Linked DNA regions of Neurospora crassa OR74A. The protein of the gene in region 2 purifies or fractionates together with the protein of the main gene of each other region. This does not show direct contact. Links are inferred from orthologs where the notes say so. Each region holds a gene or a part of one and is shown on either strand. Other genes may lie near its edges.

Region 1 (4,090 bases), on a different chromosome or scaffold from region 2:
GCGGCGTTGAACTGGATGTCATCAGTTGTAACCTGAGCTTCTCGGACAACGTCGAGTTGGTCGAGATTCACGACAATGCGTGTGAAAATGGTAATTCTTTGCTCGTGGTTCGTGTGACGGAAGATGCGCGGTATGGCTTTCTTGCCCTTACTGTAACTGAGAAGGGCCATGAAGGGGTGGATGCGGCCTGGCTGGTCGTGATCCTGCACCCTCAGAGCCTTCCAAAGCTGCTCATTCAACGCCTGTCCCTCGTTACTCCATGCAAAGACCTTGGCAAGAGCTTCTTGATCGTCCTCGGCAGGCGCCATAGGCATGTTGCGTTCGTGGTCTTCCATCTTCATAAGTGTAGTGTATACCAGCTCGAGGGCCCTCAGTTCGTCCTTCTTGTCCCGGCCATTAACAGGATGCGGTGCCTTCTTCACATCGCTGGCGCTGTCGTTACGCTTGATGTTGAGAAGCGGCTTCGGGGTCTTGGCGTTGCTGAAGGAAATCTTGCCCAAGCTACCTTCAATAACAAGCTGCTTATTCTTGGGCTTGTTCTTGGCCGCCTCAACAGCACGCTGGACCTGTTGTTCCATCCTCTGCATATGGTTTTCAGGACCCCTGTTATGGCGGCGCATACCTCCTTGACGGCTTCCTGTCTGAAACAGATAAGTCTGAGCGAACTGGTTCAGAGGCTGGCTGGGGTGCTGGCGATGGCCAGCCTGGATCTGACTATGGACTTGATAGTAAAAGTCCTCGGCGAGTGACTCGTCTGTGCCGTGTTCATTGGGATTTCCAGTGGCTGCGACAAGCTGCTGAAGCTGGATCCGGGTGATGAAATTCTTGTCCTGTGGCGTCATGATACCATTGTCGCGAGACATTTGGAAGATCTTGTGGTTGCGCTTGGCGCGCTTAGCTTCCTGTTCAAGATACGCAGCCTTTTCCTCCTCCGAGAGCTGAGCCAGCTGGGCAGGATGAAGAATCATAGGGGGCTGTCGCGGAAGAGAGCCTTGTTGCCTGTGGCCCTGGTGAGCGGACTGAGGACCGGACGGAGGCGTAGGGTGAACAGGCAGCCCGATCTTAGCCGCGTCGCCTGAAAGACGGTTGGGGTTCTGCAGGATCTGAGTAGGCTGCTGAGGAACAGCGGGTTGCTGATGCTGTTGAATAGCGGGCGGTTGGGAAGAGGGCTGGGCTGGCGTAGGAGGCTTCGAGTGAGGCCGCTGAAGAATTGTCATGGGATGTCCCTGCGGTTGATGGTACAGAGGTTCAACGACACCGGCTTGGAAGTGAGCCTGCGGCTGGTTCTGAGCTTGGTGCTGGTAGAGGTAAGCCTGTTCATGTGGAATTTGATGGGGCTGATGCTGAGGAGCGGGAGATGGGGTGGCCGCCTTAGCCTGGGCGCGCATCTGAGCCTCAACCTCCTCAAGACTCAGCATCTTGCGGCCCCCAGACGGCGCGCTAGGGACGGCAGGTTGAGCAGGCGGCGGCGGTTGCTTCTTGGGTGCGACACCCCAGAGAGCAGCGTCAACCTGAAGATCCTCGATCGGCTGCTCGTGGTATTTTTCGTAGCCGGTCCTGGCAGGTCTAACTGGAGCCTGCGCGAAATAGTTGTACGAGGGTCCGGCGATGGGCGTATAGGCCGATGGCTGCGCGACAGGCTGGGGAGCCTTGGCAGCTGGTTGTTGGCGGTTGAAACGAACATTTTCCTCTTCAATGACGTTCGCGACCTTGGCGGTGTGGCCAAAGAAGTCAAAGTCTTTGCCTACAGGACCCGGCTCGCCAGTATCGCCGCCAAAAGTATCATCATTGAAGGCATCGTCGGTCTCATCCAGCTGGTCACCCAAGCCGTCATAAGTGTCCTCGAAGTCGATCTCTTCGGCTTCCTCGTCCCGGTTGGCTAGGCTGGCAAAGGGATCGTGAGCCTGGGAGAAGCCGGGAGCGGCGGTATTATGGCGAGACTGGTCGAAGTTGAAGAAAGACATATTGGCGATGCCTGTTGGGTTTATGGAAAATTTCTACAGAGGTATCACTATTGTAGGGTCAGTATACGTTGAGCGAAGAAAGATCGTTGCGGCGCAAATCCGGGTGCGATGTTGAGCTTTGGCTGATTGGCAAGGGCACAGAGGAAAATGAGGGGCAAAGCAAAAGACGAGACCCTGGTTGGTGAGTGGGACGAGAAGTATAAAGAAGGAACAGCCGTGACGCAGGTTCACGAAGTTCTGGGTGGAAGGGGAAACAGGAAGGGCTTGAAGGTCCAGTGGTCAAACAGCCCGAGCCAAGCAGAGGGGCGACTCGATGGATGTTCCACCTAGCTGGGGGTGGTGAGCTGTCTCTTGAAGCGCGGGGCAACAACAACGACATGGAAGATGGAGAATTGGGACATGGGAGCCCAACTTTCATCCCATGACCTTGCCATACCGAGGTTGCAAGCACGCTGTAGAGAAATCAAAGAACAACGTACAGAACGATATGTAAAGATGTTGGTATGATCGGTTTGGTCAAGCACCATGATGCTGCGATGCGCGACGTGAAGGGAAAGGAGACGTGTCGACGGCGGTGCGACTCGTGCAAAGGAGCGGAGCAGAGCTTGTCAGGGCGGCAACAAATACTCAGCGCTCGGCTTGGAAATATTAAAACAGAGAAGCAAAGAAGGCTGTGAACTAACGACCGGAAGCGCAACTGGGTGCGCCGCGGTGAAGATGTGGATGCGGTTGCTCGGAGTGGTAGCTTGATGGCAGCGCAAAAGGCGACAAGAGACCGACGCAGATGGATGAAGTCAGGCCAACTCCAACTCAGAAGCCAGATCAGGGAGCTGTGGACCAATCGCCCCCGAGGGCCAATGGAGCCTGGCAACAGGTGGGCGGGCGGCGGTAGGCCTGACGCTTTGACACACCACCCTCCTGTCTTGCCGTTCGTTGACTGACGATGGGACTTCCAAGGCCGCGGCCGGGGGAGTGATTGCCACGGTTGGGCGGCAACCAGAGGCCCATTGCCTGCCGGGCTGTGGGATCCTCAACCGCCGGCAAGAATGTCCATTCCATCCTTCCAGTCTTGCAAGTTGTTTTATCCGATGAGCCAATCGGCGATACCCGCCCGCTAGTTGTGATGCGTAACAGTGATCAACTGGAGGCTACAACATGAGACCCGGACGGGACGGCAACCTCATGGTCAACATTTAACGCCAAGCCGACAACCAAATTTCAAGCTCGAGATATCGATTTTGGCAAGAAAGCTGAAGGGCAAGGACAGTAGCTCAGGCATCCATTTTGCTGCCGTGACATCCGTGACTAAACGCAGCTGTTTAGACTGTGCTTCTAAGTATGTGAATTCGCCATTCCGATGCAGGTGAAGCGGAAGCGCGGACATGGACAGAGGCAAACATGGCATGGCTATCTTAAGGCTGTTTTCTTGACAGGTGACTTTACTGTACATAGTATGCAGTCGAACTTGAATTATATCAGGGGCCTGGTATTTCCCTGTTGTTTCTTTTGAGAGGGAGGTATCATGGCCATCACTCAAGTCGGTGTTCTTCGCCATCTTGAAGAACTACTCCGATCGGAGGAGCAATGCGGAGGGAGCAGGCCGGCAGCAGATCATATTAACCCAAGTATCATAGTATGAGCTAATCAGCCACTTCTCAGCGTGGTAAAAGGATCAAGAAGCTCAAGACATACCCCTCCGTTGACGGATGCGACATGTGAACTGAAGTCGTCGTAGAGGTAGGTAGTGCCCCTGGAAGTTGACGACGCCCGTCTCAAGGGGGTTTTTGTCCCTTACTAACAGGGCCACGCTAGAACCGTCACGGCCCGCAATAATGGGGTACCTGCGGATACAGGTGACGACGAAGCTGTGGGGGCACCGAGGGCACCCTAATGTCTTTCCCTGCCGCCTACCCCCGCGGCCAATCTTTTGGTCCTGGCCGGACGGAAACATTGAGGTGCTCAGGGGAATGCACCGCAAGCGACCATCAGGAACGGGGAATGCGATAGCTTCTGGTAGGTATGTAGATATTATTTAGGCCACTTGCGGACGTTGCTGAGGATGTTGTAGGTAGATACCGACACTTTTGGGATGTTTTCATTACAGGCTAGTTCGCACCTAACTACCT
Region 2 (4,007 bases):
GCTTGTAATTATATGCGTATTGGGCTATAGTACCCCTCGATCTTCCTTAGGTTATTTTTTTTTTCTTTTTTTTTTTTTTCTTTTTTTATATTATTATCCTTAGGTTATTATTTACAACTAGTTTCATGTGTTGTCTTTATTTAGAGCCGGAATTAAAGTTTTTTATTTTTTTTTCGTTATACTTTCTTATTGTTATATTTATATTAAGGAATATATATTTTATACTATTATATCGAAATAGTCCTAAAGGAGGCGTATTTGGGGTAGCCTGAGGTGAATATTCTTATTGGCTACCTATACGGTACCCGTACTCTAATTTTCTTATATACCTAGGTTAGAGTTTTAATTTACAATTATTAGAAAGGGAATAATAGGAATTACTTCTATAAAGAATACCCGCCACTTAGGTAGCTTAGATAAGTAATTTAATATAGCGCTTTCTCCCCTACTACCTACCTCTATCAATATAAGTGTAATATTGATTGAAAATTGCTGTGAAATAATTGTAAGGCTTTTGTTACTTAGAATAGATATTAATTGTTGAATAAATAAATATAATTAAACAATTATTATATTAATAAGAATATTAGCTTGCAATTAGCAATTTAAGTGAGTATATTTATTATGTTGTATATTTTGTAGTTCGGGTCGTATTGTTGTGGTACAGTTCGCTGTTGTCGTACTTTTGTGCGCTGTTGAACGGTTAATTCCGTTTTGTATACAATACCGCGTTAATAGTCGTTGTACTATTAATTAAAACTACGTATTGTAAAATAAAACCAACTTCAATACAACAATATTCAATTATCTAGTAGATTACAGTAAGAAACAATATTGTGTAAGGATGTTGTAGCCCACAACCCCTGCTCAAGCGTTTTATACTATAAAGGCCTGCTACGCCCACTTTTGTCAGACCCCCCATTCCCTCCAGGGCAGTTCCGTTCCGCTCGTCGAGGGCGGAGGCTCGCTTGAGGTTCGTTACCTTGAGGTTCAGTAGTAGCTGGTGCGGGGAGAGAGCTGACAGTGACAGCCGGGAGCCTGATGAGGTGGCGGAGCGCTCACTACTGGCCTGGCCTGGCCGGGCCGAGCGCTAGTACCTAGCTCTAGAGGTACCTCTACCTCTACGACCGACGCTCACGCCGCCCCCAGGCACACAGTCAACCCGCGTGGGGCAACGGAGGCCAACTAGAAACTGCAGTGTGTCACAGCCTGAACACCTAGCCAGCCCGGAGCCCAGGACCCGACACCTTCTCCGTCCCATCCACACCTCTGACGGACCTTCCACTTTTGTTTCTCTTGCGGTTCCATCTCGTAGACATCACCCACTTCTTCCTTTACCTCCGTCTATCTCGAACATAGGCCGCCAACGTCCTAGGCCACTCCTCGGATTCTCAACCTTTCCGCTTTTCTTAGCACTATAGTAGCTTCTTTTCCCGATTGGCGCTGTCGGTTGCTCCAAGGACACTCCTCTTCTTCCCTTCCATAGACAGCATCTTCAGTCTTGGACCTTGCTGCTTCGTCCCCCCTCGGTTTATTGCACCATTGCGATCCCTGGAGGCTTCGCTATCTAGAAACCCGGCCATTATTATTCAGTGCCGGCATTTGAACGACCAGCTTGACGCCTCTCCTTCGCCCCCTGACAGCAGTAACTAAGTAGACTCCCCGTCTGCGACATCTCCTGCGACCGCTCAGCGCGCCCCAATTTCAGACCTCCTTCGCAAACTTCTAGTAGTGTACACATCTAGTCCGGCACCACAGGCCACTTAGTCAACATGGGGTATATGACTCCCACATCAAAGCTCCTCCCTCGCCGTATACGCGCGCGTTGTTCAGGCGTGTGGCTAATACCCCCTCTTGTCCAGTGTTCCCAAGTTCTTCAGATGGCTCTCGGAGCGGTATCCCGCCATTTCTCAGCTCATCGCCGAGAACCGTATCCCCGAGTTCGACTGCCTTTATGTTCGCTGCTCCCTCCCGAGGCCTGATGGCTGTCTTGCGTTACTTGCCTAGCTAACCGGTTTGCTCAGTTGGACATGAACGGTATCATCCACAACTGTACCCATAAGGACACGAGCGATGTACAATTTCGCATGACAGAGGAGGAGATGTTCATTGCTATATTCAACTACATCGAACATCTCTTCGGGAAAATCAAGCCCAAAAAGCTTTTCTTTATGGCTATAGATGGCGTTGCCCCTCGCGCAAAGATGAACCAACAGCGTGCTCGTCGTTTTCGTACCGCGCTGGACAATGAGAAGGCTAGAGATAAGGCGATTCGTGAGGGCAAGGAATTGCCCAAAGAAGAACCTTTCGACAGTAACTGCATCACACCTGGTATGTCTGGCGCTGGTGCCCGCTTGAATGTTTTCCCCGGAGGCTAACTAGCTGCATAGGAACCGAATTCATGGCCAAGCTCTCGCAACAGCTGAGATATTTCATCCATAAAAAGGTCTCGGAAGACAGGGACTGGCAACAGCCCGAGATTGTCTTGTCTGGACACGAGGTCCCTGGTGAGGGTGAGCACAAGATCATGGAGTACATCCGCAATGCGCGCGCTCAACTCGACTATGACGCGAACGTCCGTCACTGTTTGTATGGCCTCGACGCCGATCTGATCATGCTTGGCCTCCTCAGCCATGACCCTCACTTCTGCCTTCTGCGCGAGGAAGTTACCTTTGGCCGCGGCCCGTCTAAGCATAAGGCAAAGGGACTGGAGGAGCAAAACTTCTATTTGATGCATCTCTGCATAGTCCGCGAGTACCTGGAGCTGGAGTTCCAGGATCTCAAGAAACCTGGAGCCATGTCTTTTCCATTCGATATGGAAAAAGTTATTGACGACTTCATTCTTATGGCATTCTTTGTCGGAAACGACTTCCTTCCCAACCTTCCGCGGCTTCACATCAATGAAGGCGCTCTTTCGCTCATGTTTAGGATCTACAAAGAAATTCTTCCGCGCGGCGACGGATATATCAACGAGGGCGGTAAGGTCAACCTCCAGAGACTCGGCCTGCTTCTGGAAGAACTCGGCAAGGAGGAGTATCGCTTTTTCGAACATGAACATGAGGATCAAAGCTGGCTTCGGGCCAAGAAGATGCTTGAAGATAACGAGGCAGAGACAGCAAAGGCAAAGACCAAGGGCAAGCTCATCGTCACCACGAACCAGAAGAATCTCTGGAAGCAGAAGATCAGGAAATTCCTTATGAATAGGAGCACTAATACGCTTGACCTCGGTACCGAGTTGAAGGCCGAGGACCGCAAGTTTGTCCAAGACTTGGCTGATACTGCTCACATTCCTTGGGCAACTAAGGAAGATGACGAGGGACACCGCCACCTAATCCTGTCCTTCCCCGAGAGAGACGACGAGTCGGAAGAGGACGAGGAAGCCCAGTCAGCCGTTCTCCGTATCATCAAGAAGTACGACAACGCCCAAGTCCTGGATTTAACTGCGGCCGACTCGAAGGCTGCCATGGAGGTTAAATACCAGCAAAAGTTCCAAGAGTGGAAAGACAAGTACTATGCCGAGAAGTTTGAGGATTGGACCCCAGAGAACAAGGAGGACGAACTCCGCAAGTTGACGGAGAATTACGTCCAGGGTCTTCAATGGGTGCTCTACTACTACTACCGTGGTATTGCTTCTTGGCCCTGGTTCTATCGCTACCACTACGCTCCCCTGATTTCCGATGTCATGAAAGGCCTGAAAGCCGACCTTAATTTCAAGATGGGTCAGCCGTTCAAGCCATACGAGCAGCTGATGGGTGTCTTGCCAGACCGCAGCAAAAAGATCGTGCCGACAGCATATTGGGATCTTATGACAAACCCCAATTCTCCCATCATCGACTTCTACCCAAGAGACTTTGAGCTTGACATGAATGGCAAGAAGATGGATTGGGAAGCCGTTGTCAAGATTCCCTTCATTGACGAGAAGCGGCTGCTTGCAGCAATGGGCCCCAAGAACGAACTTCTCTCGGACGTTGAGAAGTCGAGGAACGATTTTGGCGTCGCACTCAAGT
Region 3 (2,832 bases), on a different chromosome or scaffold from region 2:
CTACCGGCGCCAACAACCAGAACAATCAGCAAGTCGCCCAACGCGCAAGCGCACCCACCACCGAGGAAAAGCCAAAGGCGCCAGCCGAAAAGTACTGGGTCTCTGAGCGCTCCATTGGCGAGTTCTCGCGGACTTTCAACTTCCCCGGTCGTGTCGACCAAAACGCAGTCAGCGCCTCTCTCAACAACGGCATCCTCACCATCACGGTTCCCAAGGCCAAGAAGCACGAAACCATTCGCATTGCTATTAACTAAACACGATGAACGGTCTTCTTGTCTGTGATAAGGTTCGGAAGAATTCTTGGAAGGAGAGTCGGTGTGTTAACAGCATGACAACGGAGCATTTACTTCATTTAGCATCGCATTGGTATGACGGCCTGGTTTGGTTGATTTGGAGCACAGCTGTGAACGAATACGAATGAGTCTTGTTGTCATGGTCTGTTTGCTTGTTGGCATTGCAGTTGGGGATAATTGGCGGATCTTACTATTCGAGACAGATTTGGAGGATGAGCAAGGCGCTGGGCGAGTTTGCGGATCATCAGCTTCCAGCGTCGGCAGTTGATTCAAACAGGCAATGTAATACAGAGGATCCTTTATAATAACTAAAGTTGCGTTCTTGAACACAACTACCCCAGTTCGTACTTGGTGATGTGATGACAAACGTGGCCCCGTTGTTGAGTGAGCGGTTGCCCCTGCTGCACGTGAGATTGATCAGTCTGTTTTGCTGACCTGAGCACGGAGGAACAGCTGAAAGTCTGACTCTTGAGCCGGCTGGACTTCGAGCACGTGTGTTCCCTAGTACCAACATCGATGAATGCTTGCTCACGTCCCATCATAGCTTCTTCCCCCCTCACACAACTGTGCTTGGAATGCCGCCTTAATCCGCAGATATATACATGACTACAGAAACATTAGACGCTACTCTGGCATTGTAGAAAAGAGAAGAAGAAAAAAAGAAAAAGGGGGAAGAGAGAGGGGGGGGGGGGGGGGGGGGGGGTCTGCACCGTTGTTGCCGCGGACAAACGCATCACCGTAGCTCCGCCTCTTCACACCGTTGATGAATTCCTCTGTTTTTTCCAGGGCAATGTTCATGTAACCGTCGACGGATTGCAGTTCACCTACACCACGCAGTGCCACAACCCAGGCGTCCTGTTAGTTTCCGCATGTGTCTGCCGAGAGAGAAGAAGTTGCAAGACAACAGTAGTTTGACAATAAATGACGAGGTGAAAGCTACTACTAACCCTTGTAAACCACGCCGGAATTCAGTTTGACAGTGACGGGATTACCGATGATTTCGCTGAGGAAACCCGAGGGGTCTTTACCCTCACTTTGAGACGTGGCTCCGTTCTCCATAATTGATCGATTGGTGTGATGGAACTCGGCTGGGAGAGGTGTCAGCAGGTGGAATATTAAGCGGTGGGACGACTTTGGAGTGTGAGCGACGTCTCTAGACTTGGGTGCGCTGGGTAGGGGACTGACTTTATTTGAGCGAGTAACTGAGTAGTAATGAGAGCGGCTGCACTCGTTGAGGCGGGAGGGTGAGATTAGGGAGTGATGATGTCGAAAAGAGGAATGTTTGTTGTTTGAGAGGTACTTCTTTTGACGATTGTTGGTGCTCTTGCACGTTAGGTTATCAGGGCTTGGTCGGTATCAATGTTAACGGGCAACGTTCGTGAGGCCCGTACTGCACCTAGGCAAAAGTCCTGCAGGCGGCCCGCAGCGCCTAGAGGAAGCTTTGACATACGTAGGTACCTACGACATTAGTATAGGCACTGCCACACCGTGACAGCGCTCAGCCTTTCCACAGATCCTTCGCATAGTGCATACATGGTTTAGGAGAATAATCGAGCGATGGAAACGAACCGCTACCATGTTCCCACCCATCTTGTTATTGATATCATCTCACTCCCTGGCAATGGTTTCGCAATTAGTTCTCGGGAATCTGAGGGCAGGGGCGACGAGTACAAGATGCCGATATACCTTGAACCTGAGGGCTCAGGAATAGCTGCAAGAGCGATGACGATGGTGAAGAATGGTTGCCGACCAGGTTGTCGAGCAGGTGGAAACCTGGGCAAACGGGCACCGCTCAGCTTCCAAGTTGAATCTCAGTTGTTTTAGTAGTATCCCTCACGGGCCGAGGCCAATCGAGCCCATTCCATCTATACGTTGAACGCATTTAGCCTTATCTTGTTTGGATGAAGGCAACCCTGGCAGCTTTGCGCTTCACTGACGCCGGCTTACCTATGTATTATGCCTCGTACATCTCGTACTCGAGATTTTTTGCTGATCCATCGGCTACTTAACAGGCCTTCTCAAGATCCATCATCGACTTCTGCTCAGTAGCTTCAAGCTTTTCTTTTCCAGTGTTCACGATCGAATAGCTCAAATCGTTGCGACATGGGTGGCTCGATGTTCTCCTCGGGTAACGATCCTCTACACACTCCACGCATGCCGCCCCATATCTACCATCATGTCAAAGCCGCATGCCACGCTACCCTACGCACTATGTTTGTGTGCGTCGCCGGACCCGTCGAGGGCCCCGAGAAAGAGGACTATGGAGACCTCGACATCCTCGTGGCCATGGAGACCCGCCTCGTCTTTCCAACATCTCCCCGGCGTTGTATTCCCAGAGGGGTGGAGGAGCTTGCGGCCGACATCAAGGCAGCCTTGAACGCGGAGCGCTCCATAGTCAACCCATGTAATAATTCGATACACCTTGCTATCCCCTGGCCCAAAGACGAACCCCAGCTTGGAGAGGACAGGCAACGACACATCCAGGTCGATATCTGCATCTGTAAGAACATGGACCAGATGTTTTGGGTATGCTTGACCT
Region 4 (3,928 bases), on a different chromosome or scaffold from region 2:
ATGGGTCTGGTTCGTTTGGCCGAAACTGTTGTGTTTCTATGTTAGGATGGAACAGGTCAGTCAAGCTCACGGACAAGAGGTGGCGGGCAGTCTAGGTAGAGGCGCGTTGTCGGTTGCTGATGCCATCGTCTTTGTTGTGAACCAGGAACCTGTAATGGAGGCGGCGCGGGGACTTGGCAAATGGGTTTATGAGGGGGTTTCGGGAGCTGTGACGGATTTTGTGGCAATGAAGGTAGCTGAGAGGAGCGGAGGCAGCAACAAGAAGAAGAATGAGGAGGAGAAGGAGGAGGAGAAGGAGGAGGAGAAGGAGGAGGAGAAGGAAGGAGAGGAGGAGGTCAAGTTGAAGGCATCTTGGTGGGAACGATACTTGTGGTAAGCGATCATGAGTACGACAACAGCGGCAAGAATTATTGGGATAGCGGTATCAGATTGGAGGTATTGATTGGGACCTGATTGGAATAAGAATATGCCTCAGACCATCATGTTTACAAATGTCCAGTTTCCCACTTTCTCGGTGTTGAGTACTGTATGCCCATGTGTAGAGAGATCGCCATGAGACGGAACGCAAGAGTGTGACGACTGACCCGACGTTGCGAGATGAGCGGATCTATCTCATGTGAGGCCATGACGGAGACCAATGCTCTGAGAATCTGCTGGACAGATGCCACAGAGCCTGTCGAGAAGTCCAGCTGAGGTACCCTGAGCCGAAACTCGGAGCCGACTGGAATTTCATGTTATTCCGTAGCACGAAGCTGATATGAACACCTTTTGAACCTTTGCCGGCCTCTACAGCGTAGAGAAAGGAGATGCTTGGTGTATCGTTTCCTGCGTAGTGTACATAGACGAATGAGACAAGGACCAGGGAGGACTGAAGTGGGCAAAGGGGGAGGGTCCTGTTCGGCCCCATGTTTTGCGGAGATGATCGCTTTCCAGTGTTCCTGACTAGCGAATGTACCGTAAGGTAGCTCATCCCTATCTGAGGGTGCACAGGTACGCTTAGATACTGGGCCTCAAAGATGGGGCTCGGTGCGGAGTAACGGCTGATAAGATAAAGGCGGCTCATACGACAGGGATCTAACTTCAAGCTTCGACTTCGATAGCATGGAAATTTTTTGCTGTTGCAGGTACCAGGCCCTTAGCCACTTGCGCTCTCTTCCCATCTCTTGTTTTTTTTTCCTACCTTTTCTGCCCATCATTCCCATCACACTCGACGCCGACAACGGTTTGACCGATTTCTCTGGTTTGATTGTCCGCCTCTTATCGTCCCCACCCACAATTAATCCATCAACCCAAGTCGTTGACGGATCCGAGTGTGCGCCGCCATCTTATCAGTCCCGTCCCGTCGCGTCGCTGTAGCCGTCGCCCAACATGAGGACCAGCGTATTGCGCCAGGCCGGCCTCTGCCGTGCTGCCCTCGCTGCCCGCCATCTTCAGATCTCCTCCAAGCCCTCGGCCGCCCTCTTGAGCCAGGTCACCCGCGCCATCGCCGTTCAGTCCCTTCCCTCGGCCTCTCTTCCCCGCTTCTACTCGGCCGAAGCCACTGCCCAAAGCAACACTGCTGCCTCCAATGGCCTCGTTACCCGCTTTGCCGACCTCGCCGCCTTGGGTGTTCATGAGAACGTTGTCCGCGCCATCACTCATGGCATGGGCTATGAGAACATGACCGAAGTCCAGTCTATGACCATCAGCCCCGCTCTCAAGGGCAAGGACATGTATGCCTAGATCCGTCACCTCCATTTCCGCGCTTTAAACAGTTGCTAACGTGAAGCTTCCAGTGTTGCTCAGGCCAAGACCGGAACTGGCAAGACACTTGGTTTCCTCGTCCCTGTGATCCAGAAGATCATCACCCAAGATCCCGACCTCGCCCACAGGTTTGGTGGCAAGAGAGCTCGTTCTGATGACATTCGCGCCATCATCATCTCGCCAACCCGCGAGCTTGCGGAGCAGATCGGAGAGGAGGCTCGTAAGTTAGTCAAGGGAACCGGTATCATCGTCCAGACTGCCGTTGGTGGTACCCAGAAGAACGCCATGCTGTACAAGACCCGTCAGCAGGGCTGCCATATCCTTGTTGGCACACCCGGTCGCCTGAACGATTTGCTTTCCGACAGCCACAGCGGCATCGACGCCCCCAGACTCTCGACCCTTGTTCTCGACGAGGCCGATAGAATGCTCGAAGTTGGCTTCAATGAGGAGCTTCGCCAGATTATCAACTACCTTCCCGATCGCAAGGTTCTTCCCCGCCAGACTCTGCTCTACTCTGCCACCATTCCCAAGGATGTTGTTGGTCTCGCCAGAAGCTACATCGACAAGAACAACTTCGAATTCGTCCAGACCGTCAAGGCCGATGAGGTCCTGACCCACGACCGTATCCCTCAGTACATCGTTCCCTGCAAGGGTTTCGAGAACATTTACCCGGCCATGCTGGAGCTGATCGAGAAGGCACTCAACGAGTCCAGGACTAACCCCGAGGCTCTTCCTTTCAAGGCCATCGTCTTCTTGCCTACTACCGCTGAGGTTATCATGGCCAATGCGATCTTCAAGCGCCTTCAGTGGAAGTTCAAGCACATTCCCAAGACTTGGGACATCCACTCCAAGCTCACTCAGAACGCCAGAACTCGTGCCGCCGACGAGTTCAAGAACGCGCGTACCGGTATCCTCTTTTCCTCGGACGTTACCGCCAGAGGCATGGATTTTCCCAACGTTTCCCACGTCATCCAGACCCACATCCCCCCCAACAGGGAGCAGTACATTCACCGTCTCGGACGTACCGGCAGAGCCAACAAGCCTGGCCAGGGCTGGCTTATCGTTCCCGACATCGAGCTCCACGCGGCGAGAAGCAGACTTCCCGGTCTCCCTATCAAGCGTAATGACGAGCTCGAGTGCGCTTCCGTCAACGCCGCTGATTCCGGTGCTGACAAGCACGCCAACTTCCAGCACATCCTTGACGCGGCGTCCAGACTCCCTGAGGACCTCTTCAAGGACTGCTACTCGTCCTACCTCGGTGGCGCTCTCCAGGGCATTGATCGCCAAGCCTTGGTCTATGCTCTCAACGACCTCGCCAAGTTTGGTTGGGGCTTGGAGGAGCCTCCTGCCGTCCGCCAGAGCATCATGAAGCACATGGGCCGTGTTCAAGGTCTGAGAGTCGAAACCAGAGAGCATTCTATGCGCCCCATGGGTAGCGGACCTGGCCACCGCCGTGATTTCAACTCGCGCGGCCCCCGTCGCCAGTCCGATGATCCCTTCGAGAATGCCCTTCACAGGGCTCAGGATCTCGATCGCCGTCCCACCCGTCGCCAGCAGGCCAGCTTCTAAACTAAGAGCTGGGTCAAACTGTGCATTGGCGACGAATGGGTTATTTGGTTTTTCCCGCTGAAAGAAGATGCTTGCGGGGTTTTGTCTGCTGAGCGAGACAGACACCTTCTCAAAAACCGTGGTATCGGGTCCCCCATGTATTTCCTTTCCGTACTGTTCGACATTGATACCATCTGTACTATAGCATAATTATCACGGGAAAAGCAAGGCCGGAGTTTCTTTTTGTTTCCATACATTGGGGTGGCTTGTTGTCTATGGAAATGTTATGATAGACAGCGCGGGCAACACACAAAAGAGGGGTAGTACAGTCTTTTTTAGTTCCGTGGTCACAAGAGAGGAGAAGAATTTTTGTTCAAGAAATGGGACTGGGACTGGGGCACACCTAGACATATTCGGGACTGGAGCTGGGGGGCTGGGGGCGTACTTCTGATTTTCATTTGTATAAGGAAAAGAATTGGGGCCATCTCGACTTTAGAAGATTTTCGTTCACTGTTTTTGAAAATTCCATCATGACATATTCACTGATCTCTTCGAGTTTCAACATGAATCGCACATAGACATTTTCGTGTTGTAAGATGCGAATCCTGGTAGCATGCTCCGATATCTGTCCGTTGAT
Region 5 (3,036 bases), on a different chromosome or scaffold from region 2:
TACCTAGTCCCGGGAGACAGACTTCTCTTCAGAGAAGGCAGAACCAAGGGGTTGGGTATCGTCAAGAGTGTGGGGTATGATCCTGAACGGCCGTTGGGCGGGGTTAATGTAGGTGAAGGGGGTGATAAGGTGGCTGCGGGCGTTGAAGATGTCAAACATGAGGGTGGCGGTAACGAGGTGAAGGTTGGTGCTTAGTGACCTGGCACCTGGTGCTGATTTGGCGTTGGGCAGATGATGTTGTGATGACCCAAGTTGGGGGCCGCGTTACCTTTTTTTCTTTATACTTTCTTTGATGCATGGCCTCATCTCCTCGTTTTGATGGCTCATATACGGAGCGGCGCAGTCAGGGCACAGTACAGAACTAGTGGTGACCCACTACTTGCAGATATTCAAGTAGTAGTAGGAGTAGTAGTAGTAGTAGTATCATGGACGATATGGCTTTTGTATGTGTCGGTGGAAGATGAGTGACCTACAGGTATTCTCAAATGAACATATGAAAATTCTTGAGCAACGTACTGTATTCTTTGTACGAGCGATCCTTTTCAGCCTCCTCAGGAGGAAGGAGATTGCCTGGCTATCAATGCTCCATGGCCGGGAATAACAATGGTATATCTGTGCCGTGATCTATCTTTCGGCTCTAACGACAAACGATGAACGTGATGTGATGACGGTGATAGTCACATCTCAAGCCAACTTCTCTCCTTGTATCTCTCTCCTATCCTCTTCCCGAAGCTTGGTTACCGGTTTCCTTTGTAAGCGCCGCCCCTCTCGACCTTGAGGTAGCCACCACCTAGGTAGGTAGGCTTAGCGACGACCCATGTCCAACTCCCACTGAGACAAACCTTCGGCTGCTGACTGTCCAGAACCCTCCGCCGTTGCCGTTTCCTTTCCCTTCTCTTCCAAATGCTCCTCCTCTTCCCTATCTACCCCCTCCCAAAACTGCGCCTCATCCGCCACGTGCAATAAGTTCCACCTGCCGATGGGCAACCGGTCCTGGCCAAGCGGGCCACCGGAGAAGGGTTTGATGCCGTAGCGGTGGCGGAAATCGTGCTCGTCAACTGGTCGCTCCACATACACGGCCTCTTCTCAAGAACGGGTAAAGGGCGAGATGAGCACGACGGAATCGCCGCGAACGAAGAGCATTTCGGACTTGCGGGAGATGGTCTGCCTTTTTGTTAGTATATGAGAGTGACGGAAAGGGAAAGCAAAAAAGACAAACGAGGTATGAGAAGGAAAGGGGAAGGAGGGTGGGTATAATGGGAAAGGGGTGAGAGGTGGTTTGACGAGAGAGTGGCGGTGGGTAAGTGAAAAGATGGCATACCTTCAGGTCATCCTCCTCGGTATCTTCATCATCCACGACGTAAATGGTCTCTTCGACTTCCCCGAGGACAAGGTTGCAATGGGAGTCGTAGGCCTACATCACAGTATCCGAGTTAGCAATGAGTTCGGGTGGTGGTGAGTGAGGCGTAACGGGAAAGATGTGACGACTGAAAAGGGGATATGTAAACATAAGAGTGGACTTACGTGCAGACGGCCCTTGAGCTCCCGATCACCTCTCAGCTTGACGCAGACAACCTCGTCAAGCAAAAGGCGGACGAGGTCCATGGGCTCGGAAACAGAGCCGGCATCTTCTACTGCGTCGGCCATTTTGTGTGATGTGTGATATCAAAAGAGCCAAAAATAAATAACGAGTGAAGAGAGAGAAAAAAAAATGAAGTTGGCGTTGTGTTCCTGTTGTTGATGGCGGGGACCTCAGCTGCAGCGCCCTGGAACGATGATGAGTGAGTCCAGTGCCAGTGACGGACGGCGGGGGGTTTCCATGCCTGCCCGATTGGAAGCGCTCGCTTCGGTGCGAATTGAGGTCAGTGCCAGCTGGTCGCATGCCAAGAGCAACTGAAGCAGCCCGACGCACTGACCGCTTCCGAAGTGGAAGCTTGACCGGTTCTTAAACGCTTATGCCAGAGCTTCGGCTGGGCAAGGTCTTGGCAGGAACAGGCGCCCAAAGTGACAACAGGCCTTCCCCGGATTTGCAAAGGCGGGCATCGCGAGATCCATCGCACTTCTCCTCTTTGAGTTAGCGGGGTTGACTTACACCTCGACTTCAGTTAGTACCTAGGCACGCCCACCAGGGCACTCAGCTCCCCTTCAACACCACGGCCGAGCTTCAATTGCGGACGAAAGTCGCCAATGGGGGTGGTGTACAACGCCGTCAACCCCAATTTGCAACCCAATGGCTGCCCTTCTCTCCTGTCGTGGGGTTCGAGTTCCTTCTCCGAAATCTCGACGACTAGCCTCCGCCGTCAACAAGCTCCAGAAGCTCCCCCATTCTACGACCCAAACAGCAAAACCCATCTCAGCAATTCCATACCCAGGCAACTTTGCCCACCATGGATTCGGTCACCAACTTGACGGACCTCGACAGCCCCTCGAGCAAGATGAGCTCCTCCTCCTCCGAACCCTTCTCGCAAGACCCGTCGTCGCAAAGAAGCCACCTGTGACAAAACGGTCGCCTTGGATAGACGGCTTCACCGCGGCCTTCAGACAACCCCACAAAATGCTCACTTATTTCAAGGAGAACAAACTCGAGATCCTTCAACTTCCACCAACAGCATTCAGCGAACTTCTCCGCTCCGTTGACCCCGTCGAAGCCGTTCACAAAGACCAAGATCCGTTAGGAGACATATGGGTCGACCCAGCCATGGCCGATTGGTCCCCTTTGGGGGCTCTGGTCAATAATTACGGCGTCAGAAAAAGAAACACCGACCTTTACCCCCTAGTTCACGAAGCTGCCTTTCGTCGATTCCGCTCGGGTTCTCCCCTTCTTTTGTCCGACTACAAAGTCCTGCTGCGATGCGCCGGATCGATTTCGGACCCCCTCTTGGCTCGCAAGATCTGGTTCCACATGAACGTCTCTGAAAAGATGTGGGAGCGCCAGACGGACCTGTATGCCGAATTTCTCAAGGCCCGGTTCTTGACGGAACCGTTGTATACCCAACACAACCGGCATGACTTCCGCGTCAAGCCTGTAAACCTCTT
Region 6 (4,176 bases), on a different chromosome or scaffold from region 2:
TGGCGATCTTCTTCAACTGGGTATCCTCCAACTTCTCACCACCAGCATGTCTCATCTCGAGATCCTCAATAGCGCGGATCTTCTTCTGAAGAGACCTGATCTTCTTCGCATTGGCGCTCTGGGCAGCCGCTGCGGCGGCGTCAACGACTGGGGCAGCCTGTTGAGCAGGGGCATTGGCCTGGCGCACGTTCGAGCGGCTGCGGTGGTTGTTCTGAGTACGGACAGCCAGGTTGTTGCTGCGCGACTGGCTGCGCGAGTGGTGACGCTGGTGGTTGCGATCGGGGCTGCGGCCGTCGACAGACTCGCGGGGAGGGGCAAGACCACCCTCGTTAGGAGTAGTCGCGCCCTCGCCCTGTGCCTGGCCCTCCTTGGCCTTCTTGTTGCGCTTCTTCTTGTTCTTCAAGGCAGTCTTGGACAAGTTCTCATCGTCCACAGCGGCGCCGGGAACAGAAGGTCTCGCTGGCTCGGCAAACTCGGCGCCAGGAATCTGGCGGCGCGGGCGGCCGAACCCATTAGGACCGACCTGAGGCACGCCATTGCTAACCGAGTGGGCGGCACCTCCCTCGTCCTCACGCTTGAAGTGAAGAGGAGTGGAAGAGCCACGGGCGCCGGGCGGGCGGTAGGCACCGACGGGCTTGGAAGGCGTCTTGACAGTGCCAAGGTATGCCAAAGCCGAAGGGTGAGGAGTGGGCACGGGGTGCAGCGGGTCAACGTTGGGAAGGTTGTTAGCAGGAACAGGGCGCCAGATAACGTTGTACAACTCAACCATGTCCTCGTTGTACATGATACCGCCACCAACGTGCCAGAGCTTGATGCCGTTGTCAACACGAAGACGGGGAGAAGTAGTGGCCGTCAAGATGTAACGGCTGTCGGGAGACCAGGTGCAGACACTGGGGTTACCGCTTTCGATGGTGGTGATCTTGCGATAATCCTTCTCAAGGTCGTAAACATCGATCTGACCAGCCAAGTTACCGAAACCGGCAACCAAGGCAAACCGGCCAGTAGGCGAGAAGATGATGGTGTTACGGGGGCCAAGAGGGAAGGAGTGGGTGGCGACGGCACGGTGGTTGAAGATGGTGGTTTTCGCGGGCATGTAGCCGTATACGACACCGAACTCCTTGGAGTTGGGGGACCACGACACATCGTGGATAGGGCCCTCCTTGTCAAGAGTGACGCGAGCGTCGAACGAGCCGTTGGCGCTCAGGAGGTACATGTTGGTCTCGCCGTAGTAGCTTTTGTTGGACTTGTCAACCTCTGTTTGCGCCAGCACAATCAGAGCAGTTCCGAGCTGGTTCCACTTGAGCTGGACTTTGTCGGCCTTGAAAAAGGTCTTTTGCGAAATCGGGCTGGTGAACTGGGGAACGTTGAAGACCTTGACGGAGGCGGGATGTCCCTGTAACCAACAGTTAGACGTTGATATAGAAAAGTGCGATGCATACGGGAGATCAGGTAACGTACCTTGCGCTCTGGGACGAAAACAGCAACGTTCTGGTTCTTACCGGGCGCGAGGGCAAAGTCGGAGACGCCCTCAACGCGCAGCTTGTTCCACACGGTGCCGAGATCGTTGCTGTTGTAGAACTGGACCTCGTTGGTGACGATGCGCGCGCAGAAGCGCTCATCCTCCGTGTACTGCAGGTTCCAGCCATTAGCAGACTTTTGGACGAACTTGCCAATGGGCTGCTTCTCAGCACCATCAGCGAGCTCCTCAATGGTGCGCCAGATCTTGAGATTCTTGGTAGCATCGCCATTCTCATCCTTGGCGGGGCGCTCCCAGGTGCTCAAGTAGGTACCGTGGGGGGAGAAGCTGAGTTCGTAGACGGCAGGGATGGGCAGCGAAGTCAAGACGTGGCCGACGGACGCGTCGACGATGACGACGCCCTCGTTAGTGGCGTAGGCAAAGTAGCGGCCGCATCCCGAGTAGACACAGCACCGGAGATTCCCTTCGGGCTTGGTGAATCCAGGAAGGGCTTCGTAGACAGGGTCGGCATCAAAGACGCCGATGGCCTTCTGGGTTCGGTAGGCGAGCTGCAACGGATTGGCCATGACTAGCGAAAGTCACAGGTGATCGCGGTTTGCAGAAAGCGGTGTGGGATTCGTTTCGTTACCTGGCTCCTTTTCCCGGGGGACTGGAGTCGTCGCTGCGAGCAAGAGGCGGACCTTTTTTTTTCGGTGTTCGAAACGGGTCACGCTTGGTGTCGAAGCTGCGAGAGGCGGAGCTCGTAAGCTTTGGTTGTGTGTTGGCGAAGGCGGAGTTGGGGGAGTATCGATCTGGCGCAACACAACAATGGTGATTGCGCAAAGGTAGAAACTCGACTGGCAGAAGCAGAGCAGAATTCGACAGTGCAACACAAAGCGACGCTTTTTCTTGCTGAGTCCTAGGTGGTGGTGGAAAGCGACTCAGGGACGGGGGGGCGGGAGGCGGAAGATATCAGATCTTGAATCGCAGGTTGCCAACGAAGGGAGACCGTGACGATGGGACAACAATGCGATGTTGCTTTGGACGGCGGCGAGGAACAAAGGGCACACGCCGTGGTGGAGATCCAAGAAGAATAAAAATCGACCGAATTCAGGAACGTGAACGATGAAGAGAAGCACCCTCAGGGAAGGAATTGGCAAAGGCGGTGCGAGTGTGGTTGACGGGGGGGAGAGGAAAAAAGAGGGGAGAGGTGGGTTAGGAGAAAGGGAGGAAAAGTAGGACAATGGAGAATGGCAGAGAAGGTGGACGCGAAGAAAGTTACGATACGGACGCGGTTCCACAGGTATCGTGGTTTCGGTTTTTTTGGTTTTTTTTCCATATCTCTTACCTACACTTTTTTTTTTCTTTTTTTTTTTCTTCCTTTTCTTTCGACATGTCACTGCAGCATCGATATTCAATTGGGCATTGGCACGGGCACTGGCCACCCGACCAAACAGCAGACGGGAGCTAAACAATGTGACGAGGACTGCACTAATGGGCAATATGACCGTAGAATATACACTTAAAAAAACACCTAGAGATAGTCCAGCAAGACGGCGCGGACGAGTTGTTCGCCTTCCGTTTGGGCGATCTCTAACTTTTTTGGAGGCTTTATGCATTTCGAGGTCGCGGCGGTTGTCCGTTCGCTGATTCAGACCTCTGCCACACGGACCTCTATTCTAGATTGGCAGCGGAGGACCTCGAGGGGACCGAACATTGAACAGCGGAGCCCCGCCGTGGGGCCGTGTTCCCTTCAGAGTCTCGGTGACATTCGGTGACAGACGTTAGTGACCGTACCCGTAAGCCCCGTAGGGACCAGGGCGAGCCTATCAGATGTTAACGGGCCCTATCACGGCGGCCAGCCGATCTCCAACACCCCCAACAGGTTGCGGCCCCCGGTGTTCTAGGCTTTGTTGTCCCTTGTTCGAGCCGCGGCAAGGGCCAGTCAGCGGCGCGCCAAGTTACGGCCAAGGCCCCTGCCCGATTTGCCTTTTCGTCAACGTCAACGTCAACGACATAGGACCCCGACGACGCTCAGGACAAGAGACATCGGACCGGGGGCGACGTCCACCACTGCGTTCTCTGCTCAACTTGCCATCCTAACAGACCTGAGGTTATCCATTTTTATGACCTGTTCCATTCAGGTGAGGTTTCGGCACCACTTTACTCGATGCTCTATGGCACGAAAGTTACACCCAAGTGAAACTACCGAACTCCAGCTTGGTCGTTCCTGGAGAACATTTTCAGAATACACGCGCCATCACTTCCGCATGCCCTGCCAAATGGAGGATCTGTGGGTAAAGGTAGTGATACCCTTCTTGATGGCTGGTGCTGTCCTTCATGTTAGGTACCTAGGTCTATTCTACTACCTCTAGGTTCAGACGTCCAAGCAATTGTGATACACATCCTATGATACCAGGAGAGCCACAGTACGGTCCTTTTCGTCTCTTCGCGAGGTACTATACACTCACTACAAACGATCCTACCACGCGGTCCATGTTGTTTGCTTTCCATGTTTTCCGCTTGCCCCCCGTAAACAACGGGCCCTTTTTTTTTTTTTTTTTTTTTTTTTTTTTTTTTTTTTTTTTTTTTTTTTTTTTTTTTTTTTTTTCCTTTCATGTTTCTATCCCTCTATAATGCTGTTTCCCCATATAACACACGGCAGTTGTTTCCAGCTTCAGTCAAAGCACACCAACACACTCTCGCTGAAGCAATCCGGG
Region 7 (3,007 bases), on a different chromosome or scaffold from region 2:
GCTGGTACAACTTCAGTTTACCCACCACGCCCAACCATACATTCATGGACGACTTCACAGATTTATAGTGGTGGACTTACGAAAGACCTAGTGATGGCCTACAGCCAGCCCAACCCAGCCCACAACGACATCTCCCAGCGGCTTATACAGAACCCTCAGTGGATCAACGTGAGGTACATTGGATTTCCCTATTCCGACCGAAACAAGTTCAACCCCCCCTTTGTTGGCATGTGGAACGCAACCCCCGCAGCAGGTGGTTGAGTACTTGCTGCATATCATCTTTCAGTTTGATGATGCTGGGTAATCGGTTGGTTGGTCATGAGTGCCAACGCCTCATTTCCCGAGCTCGGCGTAGTTATCGATGATGGCGGGTGGGTGGGAGGATGTTGAAGTCGATGGGTTTGTGCCGGCTATGTGACTAGTCCTAGGAAAGAATGTTAGTCGTGGATATCTCTCTGGGCTATCCTTTCCCAACATGATCATAGTCAGTAGTGGCCAGGTTCGATTCGAGGCAATCCATCGAATTGCTAATTTTCTAACGGTAAAATACACTTGGTGTCTTCTTGGGCCGACCTTGGTGTAAGGCTTCATGCGGTCTTCCATTCGTATGAAGTCGCAGCTGAGTGGATAGCATTTCACAATATTCTGCTTCCAATCGCTCATGCCATTCCCTCCTTCGACACTCCCTTTCCACTTCAGGGGTATGTAGGTATAAATCATAACAAGTTAAAGTTTTGGTCGTCTCTCCTCCCGTCTCTTTCTTTCCGTCCCATTTGTAAAATTTGAGGGTGATTCATATATCATTCACAGAAGCGCCTCGCCTACGTTCTCCCCTTCGAAGCCAATGGTGGAAAGCTTCTTGATCTTGCGCTTCTCCTTGGCCTTCTCCTCGGCCTTTTTCTGCTTGGCTAGTGTCTGCACCAGTTCGAGGTCGGCAGGGTCGTAGCCCGGGGGCGGGTCGTCGTCGCGGTCAAGGTCGATCTCGCCCATGAGGAGAACGTTCTCGCCGCGAACAACGAAGAGGCCCCGGTCGACGTCGGCGTAGAGCCCCCTGGTCTGGGTGGGTGACTGCGTGCCTGGAGGCACGAATATCCTCTCCTTTGTCTGTTGTAGTACTAGGTTGGCTAGTATGGTGGGAAAAAAGTGGATTCGCGTTAACACAGCTACCTCTTCATACTCGTGCTCGTTCGTGCGTGCGTGTATAGGTGGTCATGTGTTGTAAGAGAGAGGTAGGTTCATGGAGGCATACCAAACTGATCCCAACTGCGGAGGATGCCCGTGAGCTTTCGTCCGTCGCGCAATGCTACCATTAGCTTCTCTGTTGGTACCCCGCCGCTCGTGTCAGCCTAGTTCCTCCCGTCCAAAAGATATGTCCACAATATTGCTTCTTACTATCGGTCAGGTCGAGGAGTTGGGCAGCTGTGGTGAACATTTGCGCGGGCAACTGCTGGGGCTGGGGAGGACGGCCGCCTCCTAGGAGTCCCGGCGGGGGCATGCCGGGTCCAGGCTGGCCGGGGCCCTGAGGGAAGGGCGGCGGTGGGGGTTGATCGTTTATCGAGAGGTGTTCCATGGTTGTGTGCTGAAGATGGCCTATGTCTTCTAGTCCATCTGTAAAGTTTCGGGGGGTGTCTTCAAGGTTGTTGAATGGGAAGCGGGATGCAATGATGCGATGGGACAGCTGCCCGCCCTGACGTTGCCTGCCCGCACATACTACTACCTACCTACTGCGTACATACCTACCTTAGTACATAGCTGCTGCCCTGGGCTGCCCTGGGCTTGCTCCGCTGTTTGTGCAGTTCACCCCACTTTCACGGTGAGAGGCAGCGACGAGAAGTGTGTTCCTTGAAGGACAGCCCGAGTCGCACAGATCTTTTTACCACTCTACTTACACGGCTCCTGCCATAAGCTTTTAGTGGATGATTCCAGCTTCCTTCCGGCAGGCAATTTGCGTATATGTACATGATACAAGTCAGCCACATCGCAGGTTGAGCCACAAGACGGAGCGAATCTCAGCTTTATCCACTTCAGCAATCAGCTCGGCTCATACAAACCTATCGCTGCTTCCTGCGGCAGACTGCTCTCGCTTAGGTACAGCGCCTGTGCGGTGGAGCTTCCATGATCACCGGACTGTATGTCTAGTCAGTAAACACTGCCAGGGCAAGGTGAAACCAAGCGCTGTGCAGCAACCTACAGTATTATTCAACCCGGTGGCCGGACAATGAGCCGACGGGACCTGCACTGACCTCCCTGTGCTGGTTTGCCTGTACCTACCTAGGTAGTGCCGCACTGCATTCTCCGGTCCTTCTGCTTCGGCTCAACCTGCTGTCAACCCCATTTCATTCTGCCACTCCATATTTCTCCATCTGCACCATACGTACCCTCGCTGTCGACAATTATACACAAAAGATCCCATGAGGACTATGTCCAAACCCGCTTCGACCACCAGAAGCCGTTCCTTTTCTCTCGCCCTTGCGCTGTAACCATTCTGCGCGCCCGTCCATCGGCGGACGAGGGCAGCTCTCTTCCCGTCGTCCAGTCGACTTTGACTTACTCGTCCTCTAGCCTCAAATCTCTGCACTGGGGCTCTCTTTTTTCCGCCCACCAGCCTCGCCTTGAGGTTTGCCTCGCCTGGTCTTACCTGGTCCGGATACAATAAAAAAGCAGGCAACCAAGAAACATATTTACGAGGACCCCCCTTTCGCCATGGCTTCTACCGACGTTACCATGGCCGACGCACCTTCCGGGCGGCCTGATCGCCGCTCCAACGCTTCTCCTCCTCCCGGTCAGTCACAGTCACAGTCTAAGAGAGACAAGCGACGCCAAATGCTTGCCGAACGCATTGCAACCCTTTCCGACAAATGGAGCAAGGACAGAGACCAGGCCTTTCGCGAACAACTACAAAAGATTCAGATTGACACCAGTCTGGTCATGCGAGTCGACCCCTATGTCGATCGACCTTTGGACAGCTTCGAAGAGGATCAGAGACGACTCAACCAGCTCAATGGCG

Evidence for each region.
Region 1: the proteins of NCU06678 (region 2) and NCU06540 purify together in Saccharomyces cerevisiae (affinity purification with mass spectrometry; 8 studies listed by BioGRID, with this or other methods). This does not show direct contact. The link is inferred for Neurospora crassa OR74A from reciprocal best matches to the Saccharomyces cerevisiae genes XRN1 and PAT1.
Region 3: the proteins of NCU06678 (region 2) and NCU10352 purify together in Saccharomyces cerevisiae (affinity purification with mass spectrometry; 5 studies listed by BioGRID). This does not show direct contact. The link is inferred for Neurospora crassa OR74A from reciprocal best matches to the Saccharomyces cerevisiae genes XRN1 and LSM6.
Region 4: the proteins of NCU06678 (region 2) and cyt-19 purify together in Saccharomyces cerevisiae (affinity purification with mass spectrometry; 3 studies listed by BioGRID, with this or other methods). This does not show direct contact. The link is inferred for Neurospora crassa OR74A from reciprocal best matches to the Saccharomyces cerevisiae genes XRN1 and MSS116.
Region 5: the proteins of NCU06678 (region 2) and NCU09512 purify together in Saccharomyces cerevisiae (affinity purification with mass spectrometry; 6 studies listed by BioGRID, with this or other methods). This does not show direct contact. The link is inferred for Neurospora crassa OR74A from reciprocal best matches to the Saccharomyces cerevisiae genes XRN1 and LSM3.
Region 6: the proteins of NCU06678 (region 2) and NCU06099 purify together in Saccharomyces cerevisiae (affinity purification with mass spectrometry; 5 studies listed by BioGRID, with this or other methods). This does not show direct contact. The link is inferred for Neurospora crassa OR74A from reciprocal best matches to the Saccharomyces cerevisiae genes XRN1 and YGR054W.
Region 7: the proteins of NCU06678 (region 2) and NCU01601 purify together in Saccharomyces cerevisiae (affinity purification with mass spectrometry; 6 studies listed by BioGRID, with this or other methods). This does not show direct contact. The link is inferred for Neurospora crassa OR74A from reciprocal best matches to the Saccharomyces cerevisiae genes XRN1 and LSM1.

What each region holds. Positions count from the first base shown.
Region 1 is NC_026504.1:1,578,099-1,582,188, forward strand, and holds the start of NCU06540 (topisomerase II associated protein), read right to left. Parts: upstream 2,801-4,090; 5' UTR 2,444-2,800; intron 2,012-2,443; 5' UTR 1,965-2,011; coding exon 1-1,964. UniProt on the Saccharomyces cerevisiae protein: Activator of decapping that functions as a general and active mechanism of translational repression and required for P-body formation. First decay factor recruited to mRNA, at a time when the mRNA is still associated with translation factors.
Region 2 is NC_026505.1:4,232,173-4,236,179, reverse strand, and holds the start of NCU06678 (exonuclease Kem1), read left to right. Parts: upstream 1-1,207; 5' UTR 1,208-1,772; coding exon 1,773-1,777; intron 1,778-1,862; coding exon 1,863-1,956; intron 1,957-2,024; coding exon 2,025-2,331; intron 2,332-2,390; coding exon 2,391-4,007. UniProt on the Saccharomyces cerevisiae protein: Multifunctional protein that exhibits several independent functions at different levels of the cellular processes. 5'-3' exonuclease component of the nonsense-mediated mRNA decay (NMD) which is a highly conserved mRNA degradation pathway, an RNA surveillance system whose role is to identify and rid cells of mRNA with premature termination codons and thus prevents accumulation of potentially harmful truncated proteins.
Region 3 is NC_026501.1:3,587,561-3,590,392, forward strand, and holds NCU10352 (U6 snRNA-associated Sm-like protein LSm6), read right to left. Parts: upstream 1,570-2,832; 5' UTR 1,479-1,569; intron 1,382-1,478; 5' UTR 1,353-1,381; coding exon 1,241-1,352; intron 1,118-1,240; coding exon 1,004-1,117; intron 900-1,003; coding exon 877-899; 3' UTR 501-876; downstream 1-500. Other genes in the region: hsp30 (hsp30-like protein), read left to right, coding at 1-254; NCU09363 (hypothetical protein), read left to right, coding at 2,397-2,819. UniProt on the Saccharomyces cerevisiae protein: Component of LSm protein complexes, which are involved in RNA processing and may function in a chaperone-like manner. Component of the cytoplasmic LSM1-LSM7 complex which is involved in mRNA degradation by activating the decapping step.
Region 4 is NC_026504.1:2,294,457-2,298,384, forward strand, and holds cyt-19 (CYT-19 DEAD-box protein), read left to right. Parts: upstream 1-1,128; 5' UTR 1,129-1,368; coding exon 1,369-1,712; intron 1,713-1,775; coding exon 1,776-3,312; 3' UTR 3,313-3,837; downstream 3,838-3,928. Other genes in the region: NCU07671 (hypothetical protein), read left to right, coding at 1-376. UniProt on the Saccharomyces cerevisiae protein: ATP-dependent RNA helicase required for mitochondrial splicing of group I and II introns. Specifically involved in the ATP-dependent splicing of the bl1 intron of COB. Also required for efficient mitochondrial translation.
Region 5 is NC_026503.1:55,582-58,617, forward strand, and holds NCU09512 (U6 small nuclear ribonucleoprotein), read right to left. Parts: upstream 1,812-3,036; 5' UTR 1,648-1,811; coding exon 1,525-1,647; intron 1,415-1,524; coding exon 1,322-1,414; intron 1,165-1,321; coding exon 1,087-1,164; 3' UTR 501-1,086; downstream 1-500. Other genes in the region: NCU09513 (GTP-binding protein 1), read left to right, coding at 1-195; NCU09511 (hypothetical protein), read left to right, coding at 2,231-3,036. UniProt on the Saccharomyces cerevisiae protein: Component of LSm protein complexes, which are involved in RNA processing and may function in a chaperone-like manner. Component of the cytoplasmic LSM1-LSM7 complex which is involved in mRNA degradation by activating the decapping step.
Region 6 is NC_026507.1:1,796,984-1,801,159, forward strand, and holds the start of NCU06099 (hypothetical protein), read right to left. Parts: upstream 2,801-4,176; 5' UTR 2,044-2,800; coding exon 1,459-2,043; intron 1,394-1,458; coding exon 1-1,393. UniProt on the Saccharomyces cerevisiae protein: Functions in the early steps of protein synthesis of a small number of specific mRNAs. Acts by directing the binding of methionyl-tRNAi to 40S ribosomal subunits.
Region 7 is NC_026502.1:2,980,984-2,983,990, forward strand, and holds NCU01601 (hypothetical protein), read right to left. Parts: upstream 1,835-3,007; 5' UTR 1,571-1,834; coding exon 1,393-1,570; intron 1,319-1,392; coding exon 1,250-1,318; intron 1,125-1,249; coding exon 805-1,124; 3' UTR 501-804; downstream 1-500. Other genes in the region: NCU01599 (hypothetical protein), read left to right, coding at 2,704-3,007. UniProt on the Saccharomyces cerevisiae protein: Component of the cytoplasmic LSM1-LSM7 complex which is involved in mRNA degradation by activating the decapping step.